3 linked regions of the Pelodiscus sinensis genome follow. The protein of the gene in region 2 interacts with the protein of the main gene of each other region in a biochemical or structural test. Links are inferred from orthologs where the notes say so. Each region holds a gene or a part of one and is shown on either strand. Other genes may lie near its edges.

The links.
Region 1: the proteins of MPDZ (region 2) and 5-hydroxytryptamine receptor 2A form a complex in vitro, tested with the Homo sapiens proteins (3 studies listed by BioGRID and IntAct, with this or other methods). The link is inferred for Pelodiscus sinensis from reciprocal best matches to the Homo sapiens genes MPDZ and HTR2C.
Region 3: the proteins of MPDZ (region 2) and CYSLTR2 interact in a test that uses a peptide from one of them, tested with the Homo sapiens proteins (2 studies listed by IntAct, with this or other methods). The link is inferred for Pelodiscus sinensis from reciprocal best matches to the Homo sapiens genes MPDZ and CYSLTR2.

The regions. Positions count from the first base shown.
Region 1 is NW_027465900.1:173,147-176,895, reverse strand, and holds the start of 5-hydroxytryptamine receptor 2A, read right to left. Parts: upstream 2,844-3,749; 5' UTR 1,453-2,843; intron 1-1,452. UniProt on the Homo sapiens protein: G-protein coupled receptor for 5-hydroxytryptamine (serotonin).
Region 2 is NC_134716.1:23,692,259-23,696,007, reverse strand, and holds the start of MPDZ (multiple PDZ domain protein), read right to left. Parts: upstream 2,211-3,749; 5' UTR 1,888-2,210; intron 368-1,887; 5' UTR 287-367; intron 1-286. UniProt on the Homo sapiens protein: Member of the NMDAR signaling complex that may play a role in control of AMPAR potentiation and synaptic plasticity in excitatory synapses. Promotes clustering of HT2RC at the cell surface.
Region 3 is NC_134711.1:289,121,160-289,124,908, reverse strand, and holds the start of CYSLTR2 (cysteinyl leukotriene receptor 2), read right to left. Parts: upstream 2,647-3,749; 5' UTR 2,283-2,646; intron 1-2,282. UniProt on the Homo sapiens protein: Receptor for cysteinyl leukotrienes. The response is mediated via a G-protein that activates a phosphatidylinositol-calcium second messenger system.

The sequences.
Region 1 (3,749 bases), on a different chromosome or scaffold from region 2:
GATTCATAGTCCTCGTTGGGATTGCACACCCTCTGGTTTCCAACTGAACGGGTGCTCTGCATGGGTGTACAGTAGGGATGAAAAGTCACTGCTCATTATTAGTCACTACCCGTTTGCCACCCAAACTCTGACCGCACCTTGGGCACTTACGGATGGAAAGTGCCCAATCAGACACTATTATCATGGAGTTCTCAATGGGGAAAATACAATCAACAACCACTGGTTTTCCCTCCTTACACTGCGCACCTGTACATGTGACTAGGACGTGCAAAGTATGCTCTCTTGCAAGACTGACGGCAAGGCCCACAGGGGCGCTTAGCGGAAGTGCAGCCCTCTGTATATGAGGGATCAGAAGCACCCAAGAGAACATATTCAAAACTAGCCTGTCTTTCGAAAGATTCACACCTCGACTGAACTCTCCTCCCAGCACTGTCTTTGCGAAAGGTCACAATACAGAGAATGTACCGTGGCAGCCACACAAGTGTCAGAAAAACAATCATCTTCTTAATGTCACATTGGGATTGGAACGCTAATTAAAAAAAGTGATCCTTATGTAAATTTTAAGGCACTAAATGCAATCAGCACAAAAATGAGATCAATATGAACCCGATGAACTTTGGCGTTTCTAGCTATGCAACACCAGAACGCAGTCTGGAGCTGAAATGCTATTCATTTTGACTCGACTGACCTTTCTGAAATGTGGTAAGAAAAGTAGATCAAATGTGGCTTTAAAACTGATTCCTGTGAAAGCCCAAAGTACAAGTGCTATAAATCAGACACAACTATAAAAAATGACTTCGACATCCCAGAAGAATTTTCCATCAATGTGTCCACATTTTAAGTCATTTCTCAGCACTGACGTTTTCCCTATAGATCTGTTGCAGCGACAGTGACCTCTCAGCTGTCTATGAGGTTTTGTAAACACAGGACACATTACAAGAAAGGAAAGGAGCCATTTCTTTATCATTGTCGGGGGGGGGGAGCATGCCTGGCCCCCTCAGGGATAGGGCATTAGGCCTCTCAAAGGGTGCTCCACCCCCACGTGACTATTATCTACCACAGCCCAGGGCAATAACCCCACAGCCTCTCTGTGAGGCACTCGGGCCTAGTGGTCACAGTCAAAAACAGTCCCTTCCCGCAGGGCTGTAGAGTCCAGTGGCCAGAGTCAATAACATCACTCCATTCCCTCAGAGCAGTGAGGCCTAGTGGCCACCCTGCCTTCTGGGCAGCAGGGCCTAGCAGCCAGAGTCAGTAACAACAGTGCAGTGCTGCCCTGGAGGTCAAGGGGGTGGGGTAGGAGGACCCACGCCCACCCTCTGCACCGGGTCCCAGCCCAGGGTCCTGTCAGTGGTGGAGCTGTCCCCACCACTAGCATAGTGGGAATCCCAGCACAATACGCTCAGCTCCTGGGTATCTAACTCCCCGCCCGGGGCTACTTCCTACCAGACTCACTGTTGCAGCTTCGCCGCCACTGTCCTCCAGCCTGGGGGCTTCTCCGGCCGTTCCTCGCCAACCAGCCTCCACAGCTTGGTCCATCTGCAGCTCTTCCCCGGAGCCCTGACAGCACCTTCTTCCCAGGTGGCTCCCTGCCCAGACTGACTGTTCCACCAGCCTTTATAGCCGGCCTCCAGCTGGAGCATGCCCAGCAGGGCTGTGGGGCGGGGCCTCCTCAGCCAGGGAACCAGGGTTAACCCTTGCAGGCCCACATCCCATCACAACCATCTTTTTTCCTCTAACCACCAGTGAGCCAGAGAATAAACTCTCCTGTAGCTGGACAGAAGAACCTTAGCAAAATTGTTGTCTCAATGATGGGGATCTGAGTCGAAGGAAAAGGCGTGTTTCTGTATTTTACTATTGAGCAGAGGCGTGGAAGAGCTCTGCATAAAAACCCAGCAATACATTGGCTCCCCACAGTACTTATTGCCATCGGAGAGATTTCCTTGCCATTGTGGCTTTCTAGCGCTGGCTGATCTATGCGTCCTACACAGGGAAGAACAGCACACATTTGGGTAAGGGGACGGTTGGTGTGGTCACCACAGACCCAGGTCCTTCGGGAACGGGAAGTCCATGGGATTTCTGAATGAGCAAGGAACTAAGAAGTGCAGAATTGGAGTCACGGTGTCCTGGGAGGCCATCAGCAAGCGCAGTGCTGCAGCGGTGGAGAGCAAAACACCAACAAGCAGCAAAACCAGTGTCACACTGGGAAAACTCCATCGCGCCCCTGCCCTGCCTCGCCTTGGTGGGCTCTGCGCGTGGGGGTGGGGTGGGTTTCCTTGCCTCGGAGGCTCCCAGCAGCCCTCAATCCAGGCACCATTCCTAGCGCTGGCTGCGTGCTGGACTCTCAGCATGAGGAGCAGCAGGAAACCAAACAGCAAAGCCTCAGTGAACCTCCAAGTGATACAGGGCTGCCTAGCCCCCTTTCTTTCTCCAGCCAGTCCTCTCCAGGGCCCGAGTGGAAACGGGGGAGTCTGTGTCAGAGGGTGGGGGGGACCCAGCCCCACCATCAACTCCAGGTTCCAGCCCAGGGCCCTGGAAAAGCAGCTGTCTGTCAATGTCTCCAGCACCAGTGCATGACAGCTACAAACCCCTGGGCTACTTCCCACACCTCCCCCAGCAACTTCCTTGTCTCAGGCCTTTTCTCCTGGTACCCCCGTGTGCTGCTTCTTCCTCCAAGATCCTCCACAGCCCTTCTGTCCCCTCAGGGCCTCACAAGCTGAGCCAACTGCAGACAGCTCTTTTGATCAGTCTCAACTGGTTTTTAATTGGCCCCAGCTCTTCAGCCAGTCTGGGTCTAGAAGCCCTCTTAATTGGCTCCAGGTGCTTAATTGCCCTGATTGATTCTGGCAAATTCCTGCTGGTTCTGTACTAGTCCTTGTTAGCTTACCTTGGGAACAGAGATTTACTCACTCTAAGGTTAATATACTTGCCATCTAGGCTCTCTTGTAGCACCACCAGCCACTCTACACTTGTAATAAGTGACACCCAAGACCACGTAGAAAGGAAAAGAGAAAAAAAATATCCAATGTTTTCCCATGGCTTCTCTGGCAGGGTCAGTGTCCTTTGCTTATCTGCATTTTTCACACAAAGAAGAAAATCTTTAGAAAACAGACCCCCTCTGCCCCCCACACACACCCCCAACCCCCCCTACTCCCCACACACAATTGGTCGGGAGTTCAAGTGCAGAGGTGGGACCTGTAACTACCGATTGTGCAAGCGACTAGTGTTTAAGTCAGGTGCACCCTGGCAGTACGCAAGGCAAGTGACTCTCAAAGGGGCACCAACGTCTGGAAACACTGAGGGACACGGCTTTAAAAGAAGGATTGGATTTCAAACAGATGGTGAAATAGGGATGTAAGCAAGTAGCCGAGTACTTGCTCCTCCCCTCACCCCACTGCCCCACAGCAAACAGACACCGTCTCTGCTGTGCCACCTCCTCTACCAGAGGCAGCAGTGGGGAGTGGGTAGGAGATGCTGCTCTGGGAAGCAGCTCCTGTTCCTGGGGGGGGGGAGGTCAGGTCCCAGCTGCCTCCTGCCTGCGCACCCAGCTCCTGCTACATTTAAACGGCAGAGCCGCAGTGGGGTTAGCTCCTGGACCTGTGGGGGCCAGGACAGAGCACCTTCCCTTATCGACCAATCATAAAATTGTATCAACCACACGATTAGTCAATCACCCGCCTCTTAATATCCTGAGCCCCTAAAGGAAGGAAGGACCCTGGCATGGCTTCAGGAGTTGGGACTCTACAGAACTA
Region 2 (3,749 bases):
AATAAATAGCAATAATAGACCCTGATTTGTTCTTGCTGCAAAGCAAAACTTCATGGAACAGGTTTGCTATTCTTCTCCTTCACGTTCCTCGTACTTTACAAGAAATCCCAGCAAAACGAACAATTTCTTTTCCACAGGTTGTGGGTAATATGGATCAAATATACTACTGCTAAATGATGTATTATTTTTAAAACTGAAGGAGAAATGCATCACAAGACCAGTCAGCAAAGTAATGGCTGCATCTCATGAACTGGAAATATGAAAAAAAAACGTGGAAACATGTTACCTTTCCTTCAAAAGGTGTTACTGTTTATTCCACACTTATGTCATCAGTATCCGCTTCTCAAGTGTTTAAAAGCATATAAACCTAGGTAAACATAATAAACAAAATAAAGTTATCAGGACACAAGGCTAAATTCTATCTTCTGTTATCTTATACAATTCTCACTGGGTAAATGTGTCTGCGGCAGAATTTGGCCCTTGTTCATAATCCTCTGGAAAAATATCTCTATATGTTCATTCAAATAAGTACGTTTTTAAGATCAACATTTCTGAAATTCCATCAAAATTGGAATCCAGAAGTTGCCCACCCCTAAATGTAATTGATTTATAAGATAATGCAACCATTTGTGGCCTCTTGATGTCTCAAGATCATTTTGTGAAGAAATGGGTTTTGCCCACGAAAGCTCATGGTACCATGTACATATTTTTGTTAGTCTGTAAGGTGCCACACGACCACTTGCTTTTAAGGTACAGACTAACATATACCCCTCTGAGACTTTAACTCCATCAAAGTCTTCAGCTTCAGTTTTCATGGAGTCTCTCATGTAAACATCCTGGCAAAAAGCACTAAACTGGGGAATGGAGTGGGGGAGGAGAGAAGGGTTCTCTTTTTTAACCAAGTCATTCCAAGACAAACAATCACACGAATTTGAGGAATGATTTGAACATTACTAGGCTCTTCCACCCCACCATAAATCAAAGCAACCCCCCCTTCCTCTTCACCTCCACGCACTTTCAGTGAGAATCATTTACACTTTTTTTTTCAGATTCACATGTGATCTTCTTCCCAGCAGACCTAGAGCACGGGGAGGGGAAGAGGAGAGGAGGGCGAAGACACCTGCTGTGAAATTGCTGGTGTGAACGGAGGAGGCTCCTCATAACCTGCAATTTCCCCGTCTGTCTAGTCCAGGCAACATGTTCGCTGACACCTGGCATTGGAGATCTGGCTTTGTCATGTTGAAAGGGGGGGGGGGGGGTTGATTAACACGGTATCGTCTGCAAAGATAGGGCTTGTGCGTGCAGAGCCCACGGGGCGACCTGGGTGGGGAGGGGGCTACGATCGGCTCGGGTTACAACATGCCCACGGCAGCCGCGACTTGCAGTAGCCTGCGGAGACGTGGCTTTTGTTTCCAGCGAGGTCTCGCCTGGCCCAGCACCGGCGGCGTCGGTGCAACAGCGCCCAGGAGGCAGCCCTTCGCCGCGCGTAGGGCCGCGCCCTGCAGCCCTCACAGGCGCTGGAGCATCATTCCCCAACTTCTCCCCCACCCCCGCCAGCCAGGCCGCCCGCCCCAAAGCTCGGCAAAGAAGCAACAGGCTCAGCCCGTCAGGAGCGGCTGCTTCCCCTGCGCAGCGCAAGGCCTTGTGGCGCCCGGGCCCCTCCTCCTCCTCCAACCAGCAAAACCAGGGGCCACAGCTCCGGCCCCTCCCGCGCAGGGGAGCGGGACTATCGGGCTACACCCGGTTTCAGGGCGAGGGGAAATGCCTCCCCCCCCCCCCCCGTTCTGCCCCCTGAGCGCAGAGCCCCGGGCACCCATAGAACGTTCCCCGGGCGCAGCCAGCGCTACCCTGCGGGCACCCCCCGGCTCGCCGCCGCGCTCCGCTTACCCGCTTGCTGCTCCAGGCGCCTCGCCGCCGAGCCAGGGCTGGGCTGGGGGAGACCACTTGCAGCCCTGCTGGCCGGGCTCTGCAGACTCCCCCCCCCCCCCCCCCCCCCAAGTAACGGCCCGCGAGGAGGTGCAGGATAAACAGGCAGAGGCTACCATGAAACTTAATCCGGCCCAGCCATCAGGCGGCCAGACGCCAAGCCGCCCCCTCCCCCTTCCTCCCAGCTACCCGGCGCTCTTGAGCCGAGCCCCGCAGAAGTGGGAGTAGGAATCGGCTGCACAGAAGGAACCATGACAACAGCAACAGGAGGGGCCCCACTGGCGGCCCTCGCGCTCCCTGCTATGCCCTGAGCCCGGCCGGCCTGCTGCTAGGCAGGGCGCCTCGGAGCCGCGCTGCTCGGGAGCACCGTTGCAAAAAAAAAAAAAAAAGTGGCCTCGGCCGCCCCCAGCACGTCTTCTTGCGGGAGGGGAGAGGGCTGGCCCCTGCAACACGCTACCTTGCGTGTGGAAGCGAGGTTGCGGAGCTAGCACGTTCAGACCCCTGTCCCGCACACATACACACACTCCACACAGTTATGGGGTTGCGCAAGAGAGGGGCTTTAGTGGCCTCTTAAAAACTCGGTCCAATCTGATCTGTTACCCGCCGGGGTCCCAGCTGTTAAGCATTATTCCCTATAGAGCCCTTATCTTGTTCTCTTTCCACGCTAAAGGGACCTCAACTTGCACTCCACTCTTTTTATAGTAGTTTGGTTCAGATATTAGACCTGCTCCTGAGCCGCCTCCTTTCCTACCAGTGATTGTAGTTTTGCAGCCACATTTTCCTATTTTTAAAATGTCTTCCCCTTCTGAGAAGAGCACAAACATGTCTGTGTACATATGGGAACACTGCCTGTGACTCTACCAAGTGTTGTAAAATGTATACAACTGAAAAAAGACACAAGTCGTGTTTTCTAATCTGTCATTTTGCTTGGAAGTTTAGCAGATTTTTAAAAAGTGCTTTTTTCACATCCTATCCTTTGAAATGTCCTGAGTGGTTCCTTCCTCTGTATCCTTTGAGAGACAGTTCCACCATCAAATAGATTTGATCACTCCTATGTTTGATTTTTCCCTAATCTTGTATCTCTTGCTGAGGCCACACTTTTATAAATTCCAGAAAGACTGCTTAAATTATTGCAGCTCCACTTGTGTGCTGCAGTTTTCTGTGGATGATTTTCCTGTCTAAAATGGAGATATGGGGGTGAGATAGAAGCATTATACTGCTGTTTGTTCAGGGAAATGGATATTTTTTGTTCAGGGTTTGAACAGAGAAGGAAAAGAAAAAACTTGATTTTTTTTTTTAGAACTAAAGGAAAGGGGATTTTTTAAAGTTTTTATTTGAATATAAAACAATAGCCAAAAACCATAATGAAAAGCATATATATTGTATTGTGCAAACACCTTTGAAGTAAAATACAAATACATGGAATAAGTGAAATTTGAGTGAAATTTATTTTCAACATAAAAATGCTAATTAATTTATATTTGCTGAGCACTTCGCTTTCTGACGCACTTTTTATTTAGTAACTATCATTAGAGTCATCATTTTTCTATCTAATGCCAAGAAATCACCTCTTGTTCCCTGTTTATGCCAGCAGCTTTGTTGCAGTAGCATCCATAGTGCCAGAAAGAAGGCTGGCTCACACTGCTGAATACGTCATGTTGCAGTAGACTAGGGGCTGGTACCCTATGTTGACTTGCTTGTTTTTGTGTTGATTTGGTTTACTTCTTCAAAATGTAACTGATTTTTAAACATTGCCACATTATATCAATAAGAGACACCATTGTGTTCTTCAGCTCAAATGCAGGTAAAAAAACACTGACCTT
Region 3 (3,749 bases), on a different chromosome or scaffold from region 2:
AATAAGAAAGTTACCAGAGAGAGGGAAATGTACTATACATTTGAATCAAATGTTTGGGTACTAATAAATATCAAGCAGTGAAGTTGATAACCTTTTTCCTGAAAGAATCAGAATAGGTTTTCCTAAAATTGACATAAACCAGTAAACAGGAGTAAAATCCAAATAACGGCTTTGCTGATCAAAAATAAAACCTCACTGAATCAGAATGGAGGGAAGAACCCCTTTGACTATATATACACCTCACAGTCACATTACTCAGATACTTATTTAGTTGTACTCATATACACCTCTATATGTACTATCATAATTTGTACTTTCAGTGAAATCATTAAACATGCTTATTAAGTTCACAAGATGCTCTAACTTCCTAGTTGACCATCTGCTCAGGAATAGGTTTAACTGTAACTCTGTAGTACTCCAAAGAGGTTGCACAGAGCCTTTTCATGCATGCAGTGACTGGACTGTCCGTGTCTAATTCAGGAACACAGATACTACTCCCAGAGATCATTACTAGCCACTCCAGTCTCCCATTAGGTCAGGAATACCACCTTTCTTGGCCCTTACACCAGACAACAAACCCAGCCTATTATAGAGGGGAAGTGCACTTAAAATACAATTAAAAGGGAACAAGCATTAGTCTGCCCAGATGTCCCTTAAGGAATTAGGGCCAAGAATTCCTCCTGAGACTCCTGCTGATGCGTTGTACCTCAATTCTCTTCCCACTTCCAACCACAGACTACGGGTTAAGACTCACCATCTGGCCTTATAAAGATTGATGTTTATGCACAGTTAGTGATCTATTCAGAATCAGTCATAAAGCGGCAATGTTTATTTTTCCTCAACACAGATGGTGAAATGTGCATGTGCAGTGAAAATGAACAGGCATTTAATTGAGCAGTACACTTCATTTGTTGCTTTCATTTTTAGCTGTTTTAGTTTAACGGAACTCAAAACTTCAATAGTTATTATTATTCAACAGGATGAGCAATTTGTGGTTTAAAATATAATAAAGCCTTCTGTTACCTTTAAATTCAGTTTAATTTAAATTGTGATGACCTAAATTGATCCACTATCCAAAAACATTTCTTCCAAAAGCCAACATGGAATATTTTAGCCCCTTCCTATTCCTGTATCACACTGTAGTGGTATGTGACTCACCACCACTGTGCCTCCTGGTGGCAAGTATGGGAATTAGCTTAATCCAGTTTGAGGGTACATCTACACTGCATGCTTATTTCATAATAAGCTATTCTGGAAGAAATACTCCAAAATAGCTTATTTTGAAACAGCACGGTTACACTAAAGGAAAGCCTCAAAATTAGTCCGAAGTAGGCTTCCCTAATGTGGACATGCTACCTCGATTTAGAACCCCAGGAGACACTAGGGAGTAATTATTTTGAATGGTCATGTGGAGGGGCTATTTCGAAATAGCAGCAGTGGATCATCCACACTAATGCTATTCTGAAATAGCTATTTCGGAATAGGTGTTATTCTTCATGGAATGAGGTTTATAGAAGTAGGAATAAGCTGTCTGTTAGTTCAAATTTATTTTGAAATAACAGAATTCATGTGTATTGTTATTTCATTGTTATAACATTGTTATTTCAGTATAACATCCATTATTCTGAAATAATGCTGCTGTGTAGAGGTATCCTGAGTGTGCTGTGTTTGGCTGGTCTCATCTGTTGTTCATTCACCTGTCTCCACCATCTGGTTCTGGATGTCCCTTAGACCATAGCATCCACTTCATAACACTACCCTCTGGCTATGCCCCCAACGCTGTTCTCCCCCTTTCTGGAGGAATCTGTAGTCTTCCTGGCTCTAAACCTGCCTCCGTGGCCTACTGCAGTCCCAAAGTCTACCTCTTTGCCTCACAGAGGCTCTGATTGGCTATCTGCCATCCTCACCCTGATTTGCTCCCCACAGGCCCTTTCTGACTGTCTGTGGGTTTGTAGAGTCTCCCTAAGGCTCTTCTTTTGGCCTACTGCACCACTGCAAACACCTATTGCCTTTTTCATCAAACCTGTGGGAAGTGTGTACTCAAATAATTAATGTAAGATTCTTGTGAAACTTGTGATTAAGGTTACTTTACAGTGGGTGATAAACTAACTCCAGGATGAAACACATAGGACACAAACACGGGAGTTAAACACTTTTTCATCTAAGTTAGGGCCACAGGGAACGTGACTTCTGAATTGGGAGCAAAGGAAATGGCTTAATAAGTCTAGCTCTGAATTTTGAATGTACTGATTAAGAGCAGTGTCACATGGTGTGCCACTCACCATTAGACTGGTGTCTTCTGGTCATGCTGGGAATTAGGTCATCAGGTCAACACTATGGTCGCATACCACCACTCAGTCTTTTGCTCAGGCTTGCTGCTTCTCTCTCATTCTTGGAATGATGACATCCTCTTTGTGATTCAGCCCTCCAGCTAGATCACTCAGCTTTTTCCTTTCCAAATGACTATATAAAGGGGTATATCAAAGTCTTTCCTTCATCCGTCACAAGCAGTCTTGTTGTTCGCTGCTTCTAGTGCCACTCCTTCCCTTGCAGGCAGGGAAATCCAGGCCCACCTTCTATTCTGGCTTCCAGTCCAGAGACCCTATATCCACAAGTTCTGGGCTTTCCTCTCCTCGCCCTAACTGCTCCTTCCCGACACTGCTTCCTGTCCTCCTGGTTCCTCACCTTTCTCTGGGAGTAACTGCCACAAACCCTCCTTCAGGGAGTGACTGCAGCCTACGCAGCTCAGAAGTCTCTAAACACTCCTCCCTCTTCCTGGAGGGTGATTGCCTTCCCAGAAGCAGCCCCTGTTGTCAACTCCCTGGCTTTCTAGGCCCTACCTATTCCTGCATAACTGAATCTGCTTACAGTCGTCTGCTCTTTGTTTTTTTCATATCATCTCCCTAGTTTTAGAGATATGTAAACATTGCCTTAATATAGAAATAGATAGTTCTGGATTCAATCACCTGATGTTTGTCGGGGGCAGGTGAGCAAAGCCCACAGGTAAGTGCTGAATGTGCGGGACTGGGAGATGGGTTGGAAATGGGGGGGACTACGGCCTATAATGGCAAGGAGAAAGGAGGGTCAGGGCACAACAGGGAGGCAAGATCAAATCAGTATCTTAGATGCCTATATACAAATGCGAGAAGTATGGGTAATAAGCAGGAAGAACTGGAATTGCTAACCAATAAATACAACTATGATATCATTGGTATTACAGAAACCTGGTGGGATGGGACGCATGATTGGAATATTGGTATGGAAGGGTACGGCTTGCTCAGGAAGGACAGACAGGGAAAAAAGGGAGGAGGGGTTGCCTTGTATATTAAAAATGTACACACTTGGACTGAAGTGGAGATGAACGTAGGAGATAGCTGTGTAGAGAGTCTCTGGGTTAAGCTAAAAGGGGTAAAAAACGAGGGTGATATCATGCTAGGAGTCTACTACAGGCCACCTAGCCAGGTGGAAGAGGTGGATGAGGCCTTTTTTAAACAATTAACAAAACTATCCAAAGCCCAAGATTTGGTGGTGATGGGGGACTTCAACTATCCAGACATATGTTGGGAAACTAACACAGCGAGGCACAGGCTATCCAATAAGTTTCTGGACTGCATTGGAGACAACTTTCTGTTTCAGAAGGTTGAAAAAGCTACCAGAGGAGAAGCTGTTCTGGATTTGGTTTTAACAAATAGGGAGGAACTAGTTGAGAACTTGAAAGTGGAAGACAGAATAGGGGACAGTGATCACGA